5 linked regions of the Coturnix japonica genome follow. The protein of the gene in region 1 interacts with the protein of each later gene in a biochemical or structural test. Links are inferred from orthologs where the notes say so. Each region holds a gene or a part of one and is shown on either strand. Other genes may lie near its edges. The genes, in order: PPP1CA, MAPT, AKT1, RRP1B and MPHOSPH10.

Region 1 (4,044 bases):
TCCGCTCGTTGTTTTTTGGCTCCGTGCTGACACCGGGGGGGCCTGGCCCAGCCCCCAGCCAGGAGGTGCTGGCAGAGGACAGCGATGCCGAATGCTGAGAGCCCCCATTGCGATGCCATGGCGCAGCAGCTGGCACTGCCTGGCCACGTAGGGTGTGATCCTAAAGCCACATCTTAAGACCCATTACAAGTTTATTCCCCAAAAAAAGCCTCCTGCCCTGCCTTCACTGCCAACTGAGGGGCGGGTCCTGCCCCAGAGGGTACATTTGGTACAGTAGAAAGCGGCAAGGGCAGGATCTGACAAATAAAAAAACGAATGGAGAAAGGAGCGACCTGGTGCTGGGGCTGCTGGCGGTGGACACTCACTTCTTGGCTTTGGCAGAGTTGCGTGGTGGGGTGACGGGGCGGCCAGCAGGGTTCAGCCCACTGAACTGCCCGTACTTGCCCTTGTTCTTGTCTGCTGGTTTCAGAATCTGCAAGGAAGTGAAGGGTGAGTGAAGGGGCTGCAGGCAGAGCCCTGTGTGCTGCCCCCTCCCCGGCAAAGCCCCAGCTCACTTGGAAGGAGCACATGAGGGTCTCGTCCACACTCATCATGGCTCCTGCGTTGTCAAACTCCCCGCAGTAGTTGGGTGCAGAGAAGAGGGTGACAAGCTGGCGTTTGGCAAAGAACTCGTAGCCGTCCTCCACCACCTGTGGGGCAGCAGCACTCATATCTCCCTGTTCTCTGTCCATAGAGCCCACCAACTCCCCCAGGGGGCAGCATCCCCTTCAAAAGAGCCCAACCACATCCTCAAGAGCAAATGGCCCCTCCTGGGAAAAGCTCCACCGTTATGGAGCCCAGGTGAGGCCCGACCCCATTACCTGGTGTGCCCTGCAGATGAGATCGAGGTCATGCTTGTGCAGGAACTTGGCCACCACCTCGGCCCCAAAGGTGAAGGACACTCCTCTGTCATTTTCACCCCATCCTAAGACATCTTTGTCAGGGTCAGACCACAGGAGATCACACAGCAGGCCCTGGTCGGGTACGTCCGTGGGTCGCATGATGCGCCGGATCTGTTCCATCGACTGCAAGTCAGGAGACAGCCCTGCACAGGAGTGTCAGGTTATGCTGTGTGGCGGCCTTTGGACCCAGGCGGCAGCCCCCAGCCCTGTGCCCACCTCCGTGACAGCAGAATATCTTCTCATCCACAATTGCTGCAATTGGTAAACAGTTAAAACAATCGGTGAAGGTTTTCCACAGCTTGATGTTGTATCGCCGCTTGCCTGTGAGGCAGCGGGGTGGGTGCTCACAGGAGCCCTTCATGTGGGCCATGTTCCACCCTCCCCACCCTCTGGTGTATCACAACACACACAGGGCAGCACTGAACCCTCCAGGGGGCTGGGGGGGTGGCCGTGGAGGTGGCTGGGATGGGGGTATGAGGTCTGCAGGAGGAGGTAGCTGGGATGGGGCATAAGGTCTGCAGGAGGAGATGGCTGGGATGGGGGCATAAGGTCTGCAGGAGAAAGTAGCTGGGATGAACATAAGGTCTGCAGGAGATGGGAAGAGCTGCAAATGGGGATGGAAGGGGGGACTTTGGGCTGGCTGTATCATATGGGGTTGGCAGTGAGGTGACAAGGCAGTCCCGTTTGTCAGTAGTGGGGCCGGTGCAGCACTCACACTCATCATAGAAGCCGTAGATGCGGTTGATGCTGGCACATTCGTGGTTGCCACGCAGCAGGAAAAAGTTCTCCGGGTATTTAATTTTGTAGGCCAATAGAAGACAAATTGTTTCTAAAGACTGCTTTCCTCTGTCAACATAGTCACCAAGGAATAGGTAGTTGCTCTCTGGTGGAAAGCCTCCATATTCAAAGAGCCGAAGCAAGTCATAGTATTGTCCATGGATGTCGCCTGTAAGAAGATCGCGGGGGACACGCGGTGACGCTGGCTCCCAGCCCGCCCCCTTCCCCTCCCCCCGGCTCGTCGCTCACCGCAGATCTTGAGCGGAGCCTCGAGCTCCAGCAGGATGGGCTGGCTCAGGAATATCTCCCGTGACTTCAGGCACAGCCCCCGGATCTCGTTCTCTGTCAGCTGCACGTTCTTCCCAGGCCGTGAGCCTTGCACTGTGCGGGGGTGGCTTTCAGCAGAGCCCACTCCACCCCCGGAGCCCGCAGAGCCGCCGTGCCCTAACAGTCCCGCACTAACGCACGGCCCTCCCGGTGCCCCCGGCCCTCTGCAGCCACCCCCCATCCGCCCCGATCGCCCGCAGCCCCCCTCATTCCCACAGCCCCCAGCGGCTCCCACCGCCCGGCTCCCCCCGGCCCCCCGCTGCCCCGATACCCCCCGCTGCCCCACAGCCCCACAGTTGGACCCCCAGAGCCTCGCACGGCCCCCGTTTCCCCGCAGGCCCCGGCCCGCAGCCCCGTTCTCCAGCCCCTCCTTGGCGGCACAGCGCCGGTCCTTCCCTCCCCTAGCGGCTCCCGAGGCGGTCCGGGAGCACTAGGCCCATCGCTCACCCTCCAGGAGGCGGCCGATGATGGAGTCGAGGTTGAGCTTCTCGGTATCCGCCATGGCCGCCGGACGCTGCTTCCCCCCCCCGCCCTGGCCCGCCCCGGTCCCGGCCCCGCGGCCATAGAGAGCGGCCGGGGCGAGCGGCGGGTGGCGAGAGCGCCCCATGGCGGATGGGAGGCCGCGGAGGCGCGTGGGGGCTGCGCGCTCCCACGAGGCGGCGCCGTGTCGTTCCCCGTGCCGGCCGGTTGCCCGGCGGCTGTTGCCGTTGTCAGCCTCGCGGCGCGTGGGGAGCCCCGCGGGGACGTGTGCCGAGAGACACGGTGCTGCCACCGGCTCCACCCGCCTCACTTGTGCCCCTCGTGCCGCCGTGCCGCCCCCACGTGCAGTACGAGCCGCGCGGTGCCGGCACAGCCTGGCCCGTTGCCCGCGGTGACACCGGTGACATTTCAGCCCCGCGGTGTCAGCTGCGCCGCTGTCCCCGAACGACCCCGGCAACTGTCCCCGCTCCGCTGCCGGCTGCGTGTCCCGCTGCTCGTGTCCCGCCTCCCCGTGTCCCCCGATCCGTGCGGCCCCACGTCGCGGTGTGCTCACATCCCGTGTCTCCGTGCCCCGGCTCCTCCGATCTACCCGTCCCCACCCCGACGTTGCTCTGTCACCACGTCCCCCACTCTCAGATCCCCCTTTTCCCGTATCTTCCCTTATCTCCGTATCCTCCGATTTACCCGTCGCTACGTCCCCGTGCCTCGTATTCCCAAATCCCCGTGTCCCCGGATCCCCGTAACCCCACAGATCCTTCTCCCCGTGCTCCCTCGTTCCCCATCTCCATTTCCCCATACGCCCCAGATGTTCTCATGCCCTCGCATCCTTGTCTCCACGCCCCATAGTTCCCTCACACCCCACACCTGATACCCCGCACCCCTGAATCCTGGTGCCCGCACACCCCGCACACCCCCCATTCCCTCTCTCCCCCCCTTCCCCGCCCCGCCCCGCGCCCTCCCCCGGGGACGCCCTTCTGCCACCGAAGGCGCCTCCGCCGCCGGTGCAGAACGGGCACGGCTCCGCGGGCACCGCCGCCACGACCGCCCGAAAGCGACAGCGACCGCCGGTGGGTGCAGGCGGCGCCCGCTCCACGCGTGTCCGAGGGTGTTGGCGTGCGCCGTGCTGCGCGTGTCCGGCGGTGAAATCGCGGGCAGCCGTTGCGCTAAGCCGGGGGACGTGCGGGGCGGCACCGAGCGGCGCCGGGGACGGGCGGGTGGAAGCCGGGGACAATAGGGCTCTGTGCCGCTAAGCCCGGGCACGGGGCCGCCCCACTGCCAGCGGCCACGCGTGACTGCGGGGCACGGCTCTTCCCGGTGGGGCCGTGTGGCCGCACGCCTCAGTGTCCCTCCGGGAGCACGGTGGCACGGCGCGGTACCAGTGGGGCCGACGGTGCGGGCTGCGCCCTGCTCACCGCGACCCCTCTCCCGTCTCTCGCAGCCTCCCGACGCCCGCAACATGGTGAGTGGCGGCCCGGGGTCTGCGGGCGGGGGGCCCCTTCCCCTTTCCCGGCGGGGCTGG
Region 2 (4,294 bases), on another chromosome or scaffold:
TGAAGAAGGAAACAAAAGCAATGATTGCAAAGCCTGGAGCCTTGTTGGTGTGCTCCAAACCACCTCAGCTCCATCCCAGGAGCATCCTCTGGCCAGCAATGAGCCAACAAATGCACGCTGCCTCCTCAGCCACAGCAAGAAGGGAGCTGCTTTATCTCCTTTCCTTGATGAGACCCCAAATCACATCACAGTGTGCAGGGATGCTCAGGATACACAGATGCCCATTGGGTTTCACATCACAGTGTGCAGGGATGCTCAGGATACACAGATGCCCATTGGGTTTCACATAGCTGTGCTCAAACACTCCCCAGAGCATCCTGTGCCCCCACATTCACCAGGAGCACATTCCACCCGCACTCATTGAGCAGTGCAAAGTGCTAACACACCAAACCAGGACCTCAGGGGGCTTTTAAAAGTGCTTAAAGGAAGAGAACCCAACAACAAACACAAGCTGCAGGCACCATGCCTGTCCTTCTGATTGGACAGACATGGATTTTAGTTGACTTCCTAATAGCTGATGTAATTACAGCCACTGGCAGTGATTAATAACAGGCTATTAGTGTAATCGTGTGCTTGCCATGACCGTCAGGAGCAAATGGATGCAGCAGTGAGGCTCGGGTCACTGCAAGCAAGGAAGCAAACACACGTGGTTTTGTTTGCTGGCAAGAAATAAACAGGATATATGGAACCGAGCAAGAGAAGCTCCAATGGCAGTAAGCAGAGCTCCTGCCCAGCTTCTTTAAGCCTTAGGAAGATGAATGTACAACTTCACTGCTGCCTTTGACAGCCACAAAGCTTGGACAAGGACAGCCCTCCCAGCCCAGCTCACTGAGCACCCACACACCTTTGTGTGTGCTGACCCAGATGCAGACCATCCACTCATCCCACTGCTGGGTTCCAATGATGCTCACGTCCTCCTCTCCTGCCCCCCCCCCGCCCCAGTGTTTGGAATGGAGCTCTCAGCACCTCTCTTTGAAAGTCACATTTAGTGCTTTCCTGCCTCTGGACAAGAATTTCCTGGGCCACCATCCAGCACTGACTCCTGGCTCCACATCCAGCTCACATTCCCAGCCTGGGGCTCATCTGCCCGTTCTGTGGACAGGGTTCAGCTCAGCTCAGCTCAAGACGTCCCACTTCTCCTCCGAGCTCAGCATTTCAGCATCTGTGCAGCCCTGGCACGGCAGCAGCCAGCAGTGATTCAGCAAAGGCCATGGAGCCGCCTGCCTGCAGTGCTGGCTCTCACTGCTGCTTTCTGACACCAGGAAACGTTTGGCTGCTTCTTAGGGAACCCGTCGGTCTCACTGTCTCTCTATGAGCTGCAAAAAAATCCTTTAATGCTGTTCTGCTCACAGCTGGGCACAGACAGCCCTGCTCCCATTGAGCTCCATGCATGGCTGGAGCTGAAGGAGCGGGGATGGGCTCCTAATTAATTTTGCAGAGATAAGAGCTGCCCGTTAGGTTACAAGGAAAAAAGCATCACCTAAAGCCACAAAGAGCCGAGGATTAAATCACCCAGATGCCCCCTGAGAGCTGCAGGACACACAACTGTTTGGACAGAGGGACTTTGGGGAGCAGCAGCATCTCCCAATGGGGCTGGATGGCTTCGTGCTGTGCCTGCAGGGCAGCAGGATGGAAGCAGGCTCTCCCTGCAAGGGCTGGGATGCAAAAGCATTACAACAGGGCTGATAAAGCTTCAGCACAACAGAGAGGTAAACAAACGACACCAAGCAGTCCAGAGGGTGAGGCCAAGTGAGCCAGCAGCACCATTATCTCTTAGCTGCAAAGCTCTCCCAGCTGGGTTGGAAATACACAGGCTGTATCATCACGCAGTCATATTCAACACTATAAAGGCGTTTTATGCCTCTCTGATGGATGCTGGAGTCCATTCTCCCCCACATCAGCTAAAAGCAGGATCAGAACATGAGGGGGATGCACATAGTTGTGGCTCGGATCCGTCCTGCTGCAACCAGGAAGCAAAACCAAAGGGCTCATCCACAAAGCGCTTCTTATTCTAAGGGGGGTTGAAAACTGCACGTCTATGAGTTACAAACAACATCTGAGATGACAAACCTTCTGCTTCTCAAGTGGAGGAGGAGGAAATCCCTCCCGTGAAAGGGAAAAGATGTTCCAAAAGGCCGTAAGAACAGCCTCAAAGCAATGGGTTGGGAATGAGTAACTCAACAAGGAGAGCTGCAGAGCTCAACGTCAGCAGGGCACCATGCAGGAGATAAAGCACACAGCCCTACCAAGAGCCTTATCCCCTTCCAGCAGGACTATCCCCACCAAACAGGGGCCCTATCTAAGCAGCAACAGCCCACTGTGGTGTTAACAGCCCCTCAAGCCCCATTAACAGCCCCAGGCTTCCCATGGGGGCACAGATATCCGAGCTCAGCCCACCAGCACCATTAACTCCATACACACAACCCAGTCAGGTCCCTCAGCCTAAAGGTGCCCCCTAAGAGTCAAACCCAGAGTCAAAGCCAGCAGGATCTGATGCCAAAGTCCCTGCAGGGCCACCAGCAGCATCAGGATGTATCACCATCCATCACAATGGCACTGCACAGCTCTCATCCTGCTGCTATGGCCACACACTGTGCCCTCCAGCTGGGAATGCTGATGTCCCAAATGAAGCCTGGCAGCTCAAACTCTTCCTGCCTTGATGTGACGTTTCCCCGCAATGACAGGTGAATAAAAACCAGGGCTGAAAACAACGTACCCTATTGATAGCAGCCTGGGTTGGCTGAGAGGAGGAAAGCAGATGCTGGGGACCACACAGCTGTGCTTGGGTGGCACTCAGCCTTCTGTCCTGTGTGACAGATGACATCACAAAGGAGCAAAACCAAAAGGCTTCTGGTGCCAGGGGCTGAGCTGTCCTGCATGCTGTGTGCATCCCCCCACCCCCAGCAGCCCCAGCATCAGCTCACCCTGCCAGCTCTGCATGGATTCAGGGCTGTTCCCCACAGCCCCTGGGATCACAGAGCTGGGAACTGATGCTTCCATTCACATGGGCTAAAATTCCCCATATAAACCATGGATTGACAGACCTGCTGGTGGCCATTATGGGCCATGCATTTCTGCAGTGCTTGGAGAGATGCAGGCTGTGTTTGCACGCTCTGCTGCACACCCCAAGCAAGCACAAGGGGAGCAGCTGCATCCCAGCTCCTGCTCAGCTCCTTCCTTCCCCATTATTCCACCTGCAAGGGTGGCTTGTGTTACTTGAAAGCTCAACAAACATGAGCCAGCCTCGTGTTCCCTCCGACAGGTGATCAAACACAAACAGGTTGGGATGGGGTTGGTTGTTTTTTGCCCCCATTTGAATTACTCAATTAAAACGGAGCGACGGCCCCGTGAAATAACAGCAGCTTGAAAGGCTCTTCATAATTCATAAGCAGCTTCTTTTTCATCTCCTTTGTGCACTTAGCTCTTCCAAGGAGCTTGACAGGCGAAGGAATACGGGCAGTGATCTCATCAACTGCAAGCAAAGCTTAATATGGAGCGAGATGAGAAATCACAGCAAGGCAGGGGGGCAGGAAACTTCCTTTATGTTCAAAGGCAAACACAGAAGGAACTGCAAAAGGAATCCTTTCAGAAATGCATTCTTCATCATTGCTCACCTTTAACCTGTGTGTTATTAAGGCCTGGGTTACCAAGACCAGGCAGTGAATGCTCCACAGCTCTGGAAAGGAGCATTAAAAAGGAATAGCAAAGTTGGGGCTGCAAACACAGGAGCTCAAGGAATGGTCAGTTAAATACCCCCTTACAAACCCAACCTGTCCCAGCTCTGAGCACTGCATGCCCTCACCAGCTGGCTCAGGTTGCCAGAGACAAGCCAAGTGATGCTCACGTGCTGGCACGTTCCTCAGCATTGCTGAGAATTAAACTAACAGAATTTGCCATCCCAAATCAGCTTAAGGGCTGGCTCAGCAGCTGCCTCCTCACTGGGTGGCAATTAGGAGGGCAGATTATCCGAGCCCACCCTGAGCAGTGAGAGCAGCCGGTCCATGGGGAGCAGCAATGGTTCTGTGCCCCAACAGCACAGCCCTGCAAACTGGAACCTGCTGGGAGCCACATTGCATTGCAGGAATATGAAGCCTACACCTTGCATTATTGCCTCACCCCAAAACCACACACCTGAGGGCCAACCCGCTGCTATTGCTGCCACCCTTCCCTCATCTTCCATCCCTTCCTACCTTTCTTCTTCCCTCTGATCCAGCTGACCGAGCAGAATGCAATGCCCTGCAGCACCGATGTCCCTGTGCACACCCAGGAGGAGCACAGCACAGTGAGCTGCTGG
Region 3 (3,512 bases), about 47 Mb from region 1:
GACTTTCCTTGTTTTTTTGGTTGTTTATATAATGCATCTGAGATCTGTGTTTTTAGAGCAGCTATATATTCTTGTATGTTTCCATTTTTGGGAAGCATAAATTATAATCCTTTCTAGAGCCTCGTGGATCAGACCTTCAGCGCCTCGTGAAATCAGAGACCTTGTAGTTTCAGGATGTGATTTGATGTTATGGCTCACCTGTATAATGGCTGCTGTCTCTTAAGATAATTATTTGCTTTCCCTGTCCTCCAGATGCTTGCTGTCCTCTGTGACAAAGATCAGGATGACTCTGACCTTGTGACTGATGAGTTCAGGGTTACATAGTGGGAAAAGCCCTTTAGTATTTTTTTTCCTTCTCACAATCCCACAAGCAGCTCACTGTGCAATCGGAGCTGTTTTAATGCCAGCAGAAGTGTGGGGTAGGACAGGGGAGAGCAGGACCGTGCTTTATCTGCTGCTTTCCATTTAGATTGTCTAACTGCTAGATGAAGCTGTAGCCTCACTTTACATCTCTAGCACCAGCAGTCTCCCTGGATTGAGTTCTGCATCAAGATTTTGTAGTATTCATTACGAGTTTGCTTTGAATCATTTCCAACCCTTCAGAGACCTACGTAGTATCCTGGTGGTTTCCCTCATCCAGGTACACACGAGTTTAACTGGAATTTAAGCTTTTAAAGCATGACCTCTGAAAGTAAATATTAGCAGAATCGAGTATAATCAGTTCATGTTTGGTGACTGTCTAAAACCTGGTCCCCCTTTTCTTTGTGAAACCATGGCTGGTGCAAAAATGATTTCTCTAATAATGAAGATGGTGATTATACCAAATGTGGTATTTTTTCATTGCTTTTGTAAACCCTAAATTCCAAAGCAGTCTTGAAGTCAGCTAGGAGAGCAGGTTGTGACCAAGAAACATAAGACCATGGCAAACAAGTTGGTGTTACTCTTGCTGCAGGAGTACCCATGACACAACTGTGCAAAGACACCTTGTGACACTCCATCACACCCTCTGTCTGATCTGTTTTTGCAAATTGCTCACAAGTGGATATTGATAGCATTGCTCAATCCCCTGGCAGGCTGTCAACAAAGAGCAGTTGCAGTGAGCAGGGCAGAGACCAGGGGGCTGGTGTCTGTAAGCGCACTTGTTTCACACTAGTGGGCTTGCAGCCAGCGTGGCAAAACCTTGTGCTCTTGGATTTGGCTGTGGCCCACAGTCTGAGAGATCAAACTGGGAACCTGTGGCCTGGGGAAGATACTCCAGTGACACTGCCAGTGCATTTTGTACAATTGTAACAGGTTAGGGCTTCCCACAGCATTATAGGCATTACCAATAGCTTCTGCAAGGGATTTGTTTGTAATGTTGCTTTCAATATATTTAATAAAATAAGTTGGTGGTGGATCAGTACTCAGCTCAAACAAGAAACTGCAAGTATTATATCAGAGTCAAGGACAAAAAGTCCTCTGAAATCTTATTTTTTGTCTGCCTAAATACTGATTCAAAATGCTTTTTCTAACTGTCAGTGCGATCTTCTGATTTTTCGTTTAAATCTGTTTCAGGCTTTAAAGTATTCCTTTCAGACACATGATCGCTTGTGTTTTGTCATGGAGTATGCTAATGGAGGGGAGGTAAGGGAAACATAATAATGTTCAATAATGTAGGATATTCCTTTACTACTACTACTAATTGTGCTTGCCATTGTTTAGCTAAGGTCTGTGTTTGCATTTCTAGTTAATCCTAGTTGTCCCACCTAAACAGAGCTGTCTGCAGTTTTAACTAATATTAAGACACATATTTCTTCATCTTAGTGCAGGTTTGGGTGTAGGTTTGTATTTTACATATGATGGCAACATACTTTAACATTTAGTTATTCAGAAAAGTGACTTTCTGTTTGCTTTTCAGGCAGGTTTTAATACTTCTAGATGAACATTATGAGCACATCACTATGGAGAGAATTTGAAGTGCAGAAAAATGCTGTTATTTAAGAAGGAAAAGATGAAATATCAACATTGAACTGTGCCATAGGATAGCTATAATACGTAACTGTAATTTGATTTAAAGGTTTTATTTTCTGTACACAGAAGAAAGTGTAGCATACAAACTAGTTATTAGCTTACATCTGTGAGTACGAGTTATAATGTGTTGTTTATGATGGTTTTTAAAACATTTGGGAACGCAGCTGGGTGTGGATGGGGTTTTCTCTCAGGTAACATCAGATGCGTGATGGCCTGCAAAGTGTTAGATGTAACTCAAAAACATTCACTATCTAAATGTGATACACTGTTGTTCTTGTAGTTGTTTTTCCATCTGTCGAGAGAGCGCGTATTTTCTGAAGACCGGGCACGTTTTTATGGAGCTGAGATTGTTTCAGCGCTGGATTACCTGCATTCAGAGAAGAATGTGGTTTACAGAGATTTGAAGGTATGTAGAAAAACAATTTCAAAGGCTTTTTGGATTTGGGCTTTCGGTTTCTTAGTCACAGAAGTAAATGAGCCTTGACTGTAAGAAAGCCTTTTCTGACTGAAGTTTAACATAACAGTTATTGCAGCTGTCGAGCTTGACTTTACAGAGTGTCTAAGCAGCTTTGTAGCCTGAGAGCTTGTCTAGTGCATTTATCAGGGCTCTGACAGTGTTCTGGAGAATACAAAGAGGGTCTGAGCATTGTGGGTTGTATTCTCACCTGACTGCTTGTTCCAAGAGAAACCTTTCTGGCTTCACACGTGATGAAATACAATTCTGGACTCTTCATACCAGGTCTTATCAGATACATGCAAATTCACACTGTGTGGATGTTGTTCTTCCTTTCAATCTGCTGTGCATCACTATCTTCGTAGTACCTTTTTGCAGAGAAAAAATTGCATAAAGTTCGAATGGCTTATGTGTGGTGAGCAGAGAGGGAAGAGTACTGAGTAAGGAATCTCAGGAAAAACAAACTTGGGAAGTTCTCAAGGGTGTTGCAACAACAAAACTGGTTTTCTGAGAAGTGTTTTCAGGAGAGAATGAGGTGATGCTACTGGGAGCATGCAAGGTAATATTTGCAGGCTACTTCAAAGTGCTTCTAGGGATTCCTGCTGGGATTTTGTATCCCATATGAGTGGGATTCCTTTGAAATTGCACTTTGTTTCTTACGTAGTTTGACATTCTGTATTGAAATCGTGCTTGTTACAAATTGGTAGTGCAGACTAGAATGAATATCAAGTGTTGGGTAGATGTACAAAATGACTCTCATATAAAGGAACTCTGACAAACAGTTCCTTAAACTTACATATTTACTTTCATTCATTTACTATTCTTTAATAGTACAGAATATTGTACACAGTCACTTAAGAATAAAAGCAGGGATGAAGTTATATGAGGAGTAACAATGCATTATTTTTAAAAGAATCTGATGTTCTGTTGGTGATAATATTTTTGGAAGCACAAATATGTTTACATTCAGTATCATTTTGTATATATGACCAGTTACCCAAAGATTGCAAATGAGTCCCCTAATGCTCCCTAAAGAACTAGGGAAAGT
Region 4 (3,512 bases), on another chromosome or scaffold:
GTAAGACAAGATCAATCTTTCTAAGAGAGATGATCTATGATCACTTGTCCAATAATGCGAAGTGTTGGATACTGCAATACTGAAGAAGGCATAAACTGTTGTTGAGAGCGCACTGATTTGTGTTGCAATGAAGGTTAAAAGTGAAATTAAGCTCTGTTTGATAGTGATGGGAATTTTGTTTCTCTTTTGTGAGGTAAAGATCGCCTCAGTTTTGATCGAAAGCAGAACTGAAAGCAGTTGTTTGCATTGCTCCACTGAGCAGTTCACTTACTGTAGAAAAACAGAAACGTGTCAGTGTTTCTGGAAAAGGATATCAGAATATAGGAATTTGGTGGAGCTTCTGGATAGGTGAAGAAAGCTCCTAAGAAGCAGAAACAAGTCTATAGCAGCGTGTCTAATACTGACTTGGGCAAAGCTGAATCATACCAAAAATACCTTGCTAAAGTACTGAACCCCTGAGTTGCCCTTCTGGGATTAACAGGTAGATAATAACTCTTTCTAATGTTGTTTCTATACAAAATATTCTTCCCACGTGAAATAGCTTATATAATGGAATAGTCAGCTGTGACAAGGCAAGATCAGCAAAATATTAATTAGGCTAGGAGCTAAGGGAATGTGATGTCCTGATCAGCTGTAGCAGTAAAACAAGAAAAGATTATGTCTATTAGGAGAAAATAAATAAAGAAAAGAACTAATCTTTTTTATTTTTTTAAACTCATTTGCTGTATGTACCCTTTTGTTTCACATTTGTGTTGTATGGCATTCCTTTTGGAGTAGGCTCAGGAAAGGATGAATGTATGGGAAACTGGTAATCATAGCCTGAAGCTCTGATTAGTCAGCTGAGGCAAGTGTTGGATCAGCTGTGGGAGCACAGGTGAGGGTAATTCAGCTGTGCTCCTGGAAGGGGTGGAGCTTGACTCCACCTCCTCTAGACCTCATTTAAGGGCTGACCACCACTAAGGCAGCATCTCTTTGAGATTGCTCCTTAGTGGAGATTGCCTCAGCATTTCCCAGGAAAGGCATCCATATTGGTGAGTTTTTCCTCATAAATAACCTTTTGAATATTCGTTACCATCTTTGCATCATTCCACCTTACAGATGAACAAGAGACATCAAGTGCAAAAGAGACATCAGTACCACAGAAGAGGAGGAAAAAAAGGAAGAGAAGGGAGAGCCCACGTGCTGATTCTGGAACAACTGATGGAAATTCTGAGGAGGGAATAGCTGAAACATCTGGATCTGTTAAATGTAACGTGGGAAAAATGCCAGAAAATAATAAGATAAAGAAGAAAAAGAAATTGGTAGTTAATGAGGCAAATGAGATCAGAAATGCAGTAAGTGACACCAGAGATAAGCACAGCATCTCCACACCGAGTGGTCAGAATGACACAGAACAGAGTAAAAAGATTCAGTCAGAGAAAATGAAACCAGAAGTGCAGAATGTTCTTGGAAAGCTGGAGTGTCAAAATGGTCCAGCTAATGCCAAAAAAGCAGAGGATGTCAACCCATCTGTCGCACCATTAATTCCCAAGGCTGGGAAGAAGAAACTAAAAGCAGGGTCTGCCTTGGTCAATGGGGAGAACTTTTTGCAGCAGACAGACTTGAAATCCAACAAGGAGGGCCCACTGCCAAGGGCTGTGGACTCTGGATCTGAACCCTCTGGAAAGGTCAAATTGAAGAAGACAAAGCTGGTTGCTTTGGAAGGGATCGAGGTCTCCAACCAGAAAGCAGCAATCTTGAAAAAGAAGAGGAAAGTTAAAGAGGTGCTAAATTCTGTTGAAACCAATGGAATTCTGGAGACTGCATGCAAGAAAAGCAGAAAGGAGGTATGTAGATCTATTTCTTTCTTTTTTTTCCCCCTCCCTTTTGTTTCTTCACAAGCTTCCAGGCTGCTTTTTACATCTGGCCTGTACAGTTACTAAAAGGACCAGTTTCCCAAAAATCCTCTCACTCCTGCTACATTCTTAAACCTTCTCACACTATTACATTAGATCCTATGCCAGCTACCCCTGTGAAAGTATTCATGTGACTGAGACTTGGTTAGTTAGGATGTGGAGCAGTCTTTGCTGTTGGCTAGGGTAGTTTGTTTGATTTTGATTTCCCCTTTGACTTAATTATTGATTTGCACTGGGTCTCTGGACAGGCATGTTTGCAACCTTGGCATATCTCGGCGAAAGGATGGGAATGCCGAGATGGAACGCTTATTTCAGCAGCAATACTGTATACTTGGATTAGTATAAGCTCCTTGTGATATTGCCTTCAGTAACTCCAATCATGGCTTCTTTTGCTAACTCACTTCTGCACCTTGTTAGTGCTATGCAGAAAAGAGTGAACAGATGGTACGGCACTGGGAATTTCAGTGTCATCAGTGGTTGCACGATCACTTTTGAGAATGATGTAGTTTCTCATAAAGGTCAGGCTGGATTTTTGCTGGGAAGGTCTGACTGTACTGTTCTTACTACGTGCAGTTTTGCAATTTGGGAACAAGTTCGTTTTTCCCCCTCTACCTCCCATTCCCATTTTCTTTTGGCGGTGAAGGTAGATTTCAGCAATTTGAGAGTCCAAAAGTGTTTTGCACTGTACGTTTTTGGGGGCATTGTAGAAAGATAGTATTATTCTGCTCCTCGCCTCTGAAATCCTTTTAACCATTCATTTTCTGTGTGGACATTTACCCTTAAGCATTTATGGGCTCAAGCGTATTATTGGAAGTCTTGCTGACATTACTACTTCAAAGGATAGAAAATTCATAAACCATCAGTTAAATTTGGTATACAAAACTCAGTCTTCCTCTGATTAACTACAGCACGTTAGTAGCCTGTTAGCTCATTTCTGTTTGACTTAAATGTCTAATTAAAAAAAAGTATCTGATCAGTTAAGTGCTCCTGCTGGCTGTACTATTTCTGATATAAGCCAGGATGCCATTCGCTTTCTCTGCCACCTGGGTGCACAACTGGGACAGGACAAGGGGTAATGGATGAAAGTACAGCATAGGAAGTTCCACATGAATGTGCGGAAGAACTTTTTACGGTGAGGGTGATGGAGCACTGGAAACAGGCTGCCCAGCGGAGGTGGTGGAGTCTCCTTCTCTGGAGATATTCAAGACCCGCCTGGACGCCTACCTGTGTGACATGGTGTAGGGAGCCTGCTTTGGCAGGGGGTTGGACTCGATGATCTCTAGAGGTCCCTTCCAACCCTACCATTCTGTTGATCTGTGGCTCATGTTATGCCAAGAATCAACCAGCATCCCCAGATCTGTTTCCTGAGAACAGCCTTCTAGCCATTCTGCCCCAAACCTGTAGCACTGCAGGGGGGTTGTTGTGACCAAAGTGCAGGACCTGACACCTGGTCGTGTTGAACTTCATCCCATTCACCTCAGTCTATTTTATTCCAACCCCTCTGGCATGGGCAGGTTTCCTAATGGCAACACTCACGGTGAAACTGAGGGGAGGGCAGCAGACTAGTAGCAAATTATACTTGCTGGATTTCTCAAGTGTACACAGACACCATATTTG
Region 5 (4,099 bases), on another chromosome or scaffold:
TCAGAGAGCATGCCAGTGTACTTAGTTTCTCATAGACTGCAGTCACAGTTTGTTGACTTATTCATGGCCAGGCCTCATGTTATTTGTGTGTGTTAAGCAAGCAGTGTTTGTCCTGATACTTTTCTAAGTTCATTTTGATATCAACTGTAAAAGCTGAATACTTTCTGTTTCTCTCATTATTTTTCCCAGTCCTTAGAAATAATATTTTTACCAGCTAAACCACAACCTGCATTTTTTATTTTCCTGCACATACTGTGAATTGTTCCACCTTGATCTAAAATAAGTTCATTTTATTCTAGGATAGAAAAACCTCTGGTTTTATCATGTTCAGTCTGCAATTAATCCACCTGGATTTAAGAAAAAATAGTGCATCAGTTTGGATTTGTGATCATTATTACCATCTTTACCCAGTTTATCGTAAGTTTTGGAATAACTTCTGTTTTGAAGCCACAGTTGCAGCATTTAAAACGGTTGTGAGACTGACCATTTGGAAAGCTGTGAATGAATGACAAGAGAAACTTCTTCTCACCACTTCCTGAATGGGATATCTTTCTTAATGCACATGCCAAAGTATTGCTGCATGTTGCTAAGGACAGTCCTTGGATTTGGACTGTCTTGCTGTGGCAGATTAATGGAAATTGATGTGACCAAGAAGGTCTTACCGGAAAACAGCAGAATGTGGGAATGGTGAGATACTAACAGGAAGGGCTCAGCTGATTCTCTCCTTATTAGAAATTCTTCCACTAGTGATACGGACTTGGGTTTGTTGGGCTCCAGAACCTATAGTTAAGAGAAAAAGGTAAGAGTTAATTGTTTTATCACTGTATTTGTGAAATTATTAGACTGTGAAGCAGAAGAAAATTCCTAGCACTTCTCATACTGGTACTGGGCTGCACTAGAAGTAGTCAGTAAACTGATAGTTTAAATCACAGAATGTTGAATCGTGTAAGATTAATATGGAAATGGAAACTAACAACTTACAAGGGATTTACTTATGAACTTACAAAGGAATTGGCCAACACTTTAAAATGGAAGATCTCACCTTCTTGGAAACACAAATTCTATCACCTTTGATAAATGTTTTTAAAGCAGTTTGAATGTTTTATGAAATGCAAATTTACTTTATTGTGAAGGAGGAATGTTTGCCTCATAAAACTGTATAGTCCTTTAGTATTTATAACGTTATGCTATCTCTGGTGTTTCATGTTCATTTGCACTGTCTCTCACGTTATTAAAAGCACAGTTAATTGCTCAATGTACAGCATAGATTCACAAGTTAGGAAGAGTTCTTCCAAACGTTTAAAGTAGATATATTTTGAAGTATTTTGTGACATTTCTAGATGTAATTTGAAGTGATCTTTAACTGTTAACGCTTTGTTACCATAAAAATAGTACACAGGTACTAAAATCTTCCATAAGATGTTAAATGAACCTTTTAATTCACTTTTACATTGCATTTTTTCCAGTAATAAAGATAAGTTTAAGTCATGATTTAAAGGAAACAAAAAGTTCTAAAGTAACAAGTAACTGTGAGAGACCAGACATTTTGCATTAAATGAGAAGGAAAACCTCACTTCTGCATCAGTGGCTGGTACCACAGACAAAAAGAAAAGAAGATAAATGTAGCAGCTTAATAACAAATAGCTGTTGTGTGAATCCTAATAGAAATTGAACCTAAACAAACAAAAAATCCATGAGCTGGGTTTCCATGAAAGGCCTTTGCATATAGATGGAATTTGAGTTGGTGCTAAGCAACTGGTACAGCTACCGCAGGGCAAACAAAGCGTACCAAGCTGGACGGGATGCAGAGTGAACATCGAGACTGACCAGAACGCAATACAATGACATTAAGGCGGCTTTTCACTTTTGCTGTCATTACAAAGATTGCCTTTTAGAGTCAATAACTACAAGTCTGAGATCTGCATATTGATGAGCAAGTCCTGTCATAACTGGCCTAGCAGCACTCCATCTCACATGTTCTCCTTAATTTACCCAGTAACTGCAATCACCTCCCTGTGGGAAGATCTCGTTGTTTCTGGTAAAACGACCGAGAAGCCAACTGGGTTTGTCACTGACCATAAGAAATGTCATTCTTGGAAAACTACAGGATCACAGAATGGCCTGGGTTGAAAAGGCCCACAGTGCTCATCCAGCTCCAACCCTTGCTATGTGCAGGGTCACCAACCAGCAGCCCAGGCTGCCCAGAGCCACATCCAGCCTGGCCTCGAATCCTGCAGGGATGGGGATCCACAGCCTCTTTGGGCAACCTGTTCCAGTGCATCACCTCCCTCTGTGTGAAAAACTTCCTCTAATATCTAACCTAAACCTCCCGTCTCACTTTCAAACCGTTCCCCTCGCCCTATCCCTATCCCTATCCTTATCCTTATCCTTATCCTTATCCTTATCCTTATCCTTATCCTTATCCTTATCCTTATCCTTATCCCTATCCCTATCCCTATCCCTATCCCTATCCCTATCCCTACCCCTACTCCTACCCCTATCCCCCCTGTAGCCATACCCCGTCCTTCAGGCCGCTCTGCGGGGTGCTGAGTCGGGCTCGAATCGCGGGTCTCGATCGAGTGGTGCTCGCGGCGGGTTCCTCCCCGTCTCCCTTTGGCGCCGCGGCGGTGGCGCTATGTGCCATGCATGTTCCCGGGCGGCCGGCTGTATTCTCGCACGCAGCTTCCCGGGCCCACCAGCCGTGTCGGTGTGTGGCGCCGAGGCTGCACACAAAAGAGCGGTTGCTGCCCCCGTGTCGGTCGCCGCGGCGCGGGGTGGGGACCGGCATCGCGGCTGTCAGCCAGGGTAAGAAGCGGGGCCGCAGGGCACGGACCCCGCGGGCGGCGACACGGCGGGGCCGGGGCTCCTTGGCGGGTGGGGCGGCAGCATCCCCGCGGCTCCTCGGGGGAGCGGGAGCCCCGCGGCGCCTCACGGAGCTGAGCGGGCGAACCTCGGCCCGAGCGGGCGCCGCGCACCTCGAGAGCGGCAGCGGGGCCGCCCCCGGCCCGTCCCCCGCCGCCGGTAACCGCTGTGCCCGAGGGGGGACCCTCCGGCTTTGGGGGCAGCCCTGCGGCATGGCGGCGCGGGGCTCGGCCGTGCGGGGCTGCGCGGGGCCGCTCTCCTCCCGCCGCCCCTCGGCCGCCCGGAGCCCGCGGGGATGGTCGGGGCGCTGCACCGGGCGGCCGCTGTGCCGCTGTGCTCCCCGCGGGACGGCCGCCCCCAGCGCTGTGCCCGGCCCGCCCGGCTCCGCTCGGCTCCGTGCGCTGATGCGGGCGCTCGGTGCAGACGGGCGGCGCGGCTACACGCACAGTGTCAGGGTTTTGTTGCAGGGCTGGAGGCTCGAGGGTCCGTTAATGGTCAGACGAAACGCAGGAGAAGCCCTCATGCAATGCAGCACCGCTAGGAGTTTGTTTCTGATTTCATGCCTCCCATGCAGCAAACGGATCAAACATTGTCATTAGCTTTTTTTTTTTTTATCCTTTTTTTCTTTTTTTTCCCCCGCTCCCTTCGTCATCAGATCTGGAGGGGAAAAAGCTGCTCCATGAGGGGCTCCCAATTTTTCCTGGGATAAACAGCAGCAGGCATTACATGGTGATCTGCCTTCCCCTTTTGGAGCAGTTTTTGAATCCAATTCTTGTATTGCCGTAACAAAAGGGATGGGGGTGGGGGAGAGGAGGGGAATGCTGCGTTTCTGGCTGCATCTCGAGAGGTGAGGGCTGGCTCCTTGCCTCGGCAGCCTGCGCTTACAGGGCTCTGTACTTAGCATCCTCAGTGTCATCCTGGCGGCTGCTGCATGGCACTGAGGGCGTATAAGGAGTGTAAATAAAGGCGACAGAAATCTGGTTGCAATTCAAAGATGATATGCATTACGTTGAGGGTTAAGAAAAGTCAGAAATGACTGTGGCTCATTTGGGTAAGAAATGGAAATGTCTCAGTTGTATTACCTTGTCAAGGCCACTGTATAATCTCCATGGAGGGGGGCTGGGAAATCTGTTTGCAGAGAAGGTATTCTATCTATTCTGCCTATTGCCCAGTGCTCCCTCATTTTAGCAGCAGAAATGAACAACAGAAGCAACTGCTATCACAGTTCTGTGTGGCT

The links.
Region 2: of the proteins of PPP1CA (region 1) and MAPT, one has a biochemical effect on the other in vitro, tested with the Homo sapiens proteins (2 studies listed by BioGRID). The link is inferred for Coturnix japonica from reciprocal best matches to the Homo sapiens genes PPP1CA and MAPT.
Region 3: of the proteins of PPP1CA (region 1) and AKT1, one has a biochemical effect on the other in vitro, tested with the Homo sapiens proteins (3 studies listed by BioGRID and IntAct, with this or other methods). The link is inferred for Coturnix japonica from reciprocal best matches to the Homo sapiens genes PPP1CA and AKT1.
Region 4: the proteins of PPP1CA (region 1) and RRP1B form a complex in vitro, tested with the Homo sapiens proteins (4 studies listed by BioGRID and IntAct, with this or other methods). The link is inferred for Coturnix japonica from reciprocal best matches to the Homo sapiens genes PPP1CA and RRP1B.
Region 5: the proteins of PPP1CA (region 1) and MPHOSPH10 form a complex in vitro, tested with the Homo sapiens proteins (2 studies listed by BioGRID and IntAct). The link is inferred for Coturnix japonica from reciprocal best matches to the Homo sapiens genes PPP1CA and MPHOSPH10.

The regions. Positions count from the first base shown.
Region 1 is NC_029520.1:170,042-174,085, forward strand, and holds PPP1CA (serine/threonine-protein phosphatase PP1-alpha catalytic subunit), read right to left. Parts: upstream 2,803-4,044; 5' UTR 2,653-2,802; coding exon 2,493-2,652; intron 2,100-2,492; coding exon 1,968-2,099; intron 1,888-1,967; coding exon 1,657-1,887; intron 1,263-1,656; coding exon 1,158-1,262; intron 1,085-1,157; coding exon 861-1,084; intron 690-860; coding exon 555-689; intron 473-554; coding exon 362-472; 3' UTR 174-361; downstream 1-173. Other genes in the region: cell cycle checkpoint control protein RAD9A, read left to right, coding at 1-98; CARNS1 (carnosine synthase 1), read left to right, coding at 3,982-3,984. UniProt on the Homo sapiens protein: Protein phosphatase that associates with over 200 regulatory proteins to form highly specific holoenzymes which dephosphorylate hundreds of biological targets.
Region 2 is NC_029542.1:2,390,829-2,395,122, forward strand, and holds the start of MAPT (microtubule-associated protein tau), read right to left. Parts: upstream 2,802-4,294; 5' UTR 2,717-2,801; intron 1-2,716. UniProt on the Homo sapiens protein: Promotes microtubule assembly and stability, and might be involved in the establishment and maintenance of neuronal polarity.
Region 3 is NC_029520.1:46,937,107-46,940,618, reverse strand, and holds part of AKT1 (RAC-alpha serine/threonine-protein kinase), read left to right. Parts: intron 1-1,554; coding exon 1,555-1,623; intron 1,624-2,290; coding exon 2,291-2,416; intron 2,417-3,512. UniProt on the Homo sapiens protein: AKT1 is one of 3 closely related serine/threonine-protein kinases (AKT1, AKT2 and AKT3) called the AKT kinase, and which regulate many processes including metabolism, proliferation, cell survival, growth and angiogenesis.
Region 4 is NC_029516.1:99,131,573-99,135,084, forward strand, and holds part of RRP1B (ribosomal RNA processing protein 1 homolog B), read left to right. Parts: intron 1-1,098; coding exon 1,099-1,826; intron 1,827-3,512. UniProt on the Homo sapiens protein: Positively regulates DNA damage-induced apoptosis by acting as a transcriptional coactivator of proapoptotic target genes of the transcriptional activator E2F1.
Region 5 is NC_029525.1:4,862,251-4,866,349, forward strand, and holds the start of MPHOSPH10 (U3 small nucleolar ribonucleoprotein protein MPP10), read right to left. Parts: upstream 2,805-4,099; 5' UTR 2,789-2,804; coding exon 2,519-2,788; intron 781-2,518; coding exon 701-780; intron 1-700. UniProt on the Homo sapiens protein: Component of the 60-80S U3 small nucleolar ribonucleoprotein (U3 snoRNP). Required for the early cleavages during pre-18S ribosomal RNA processing. Part of the small subunit (SSU) processome, first precursor of the small eukaryotic ribosomal subunit.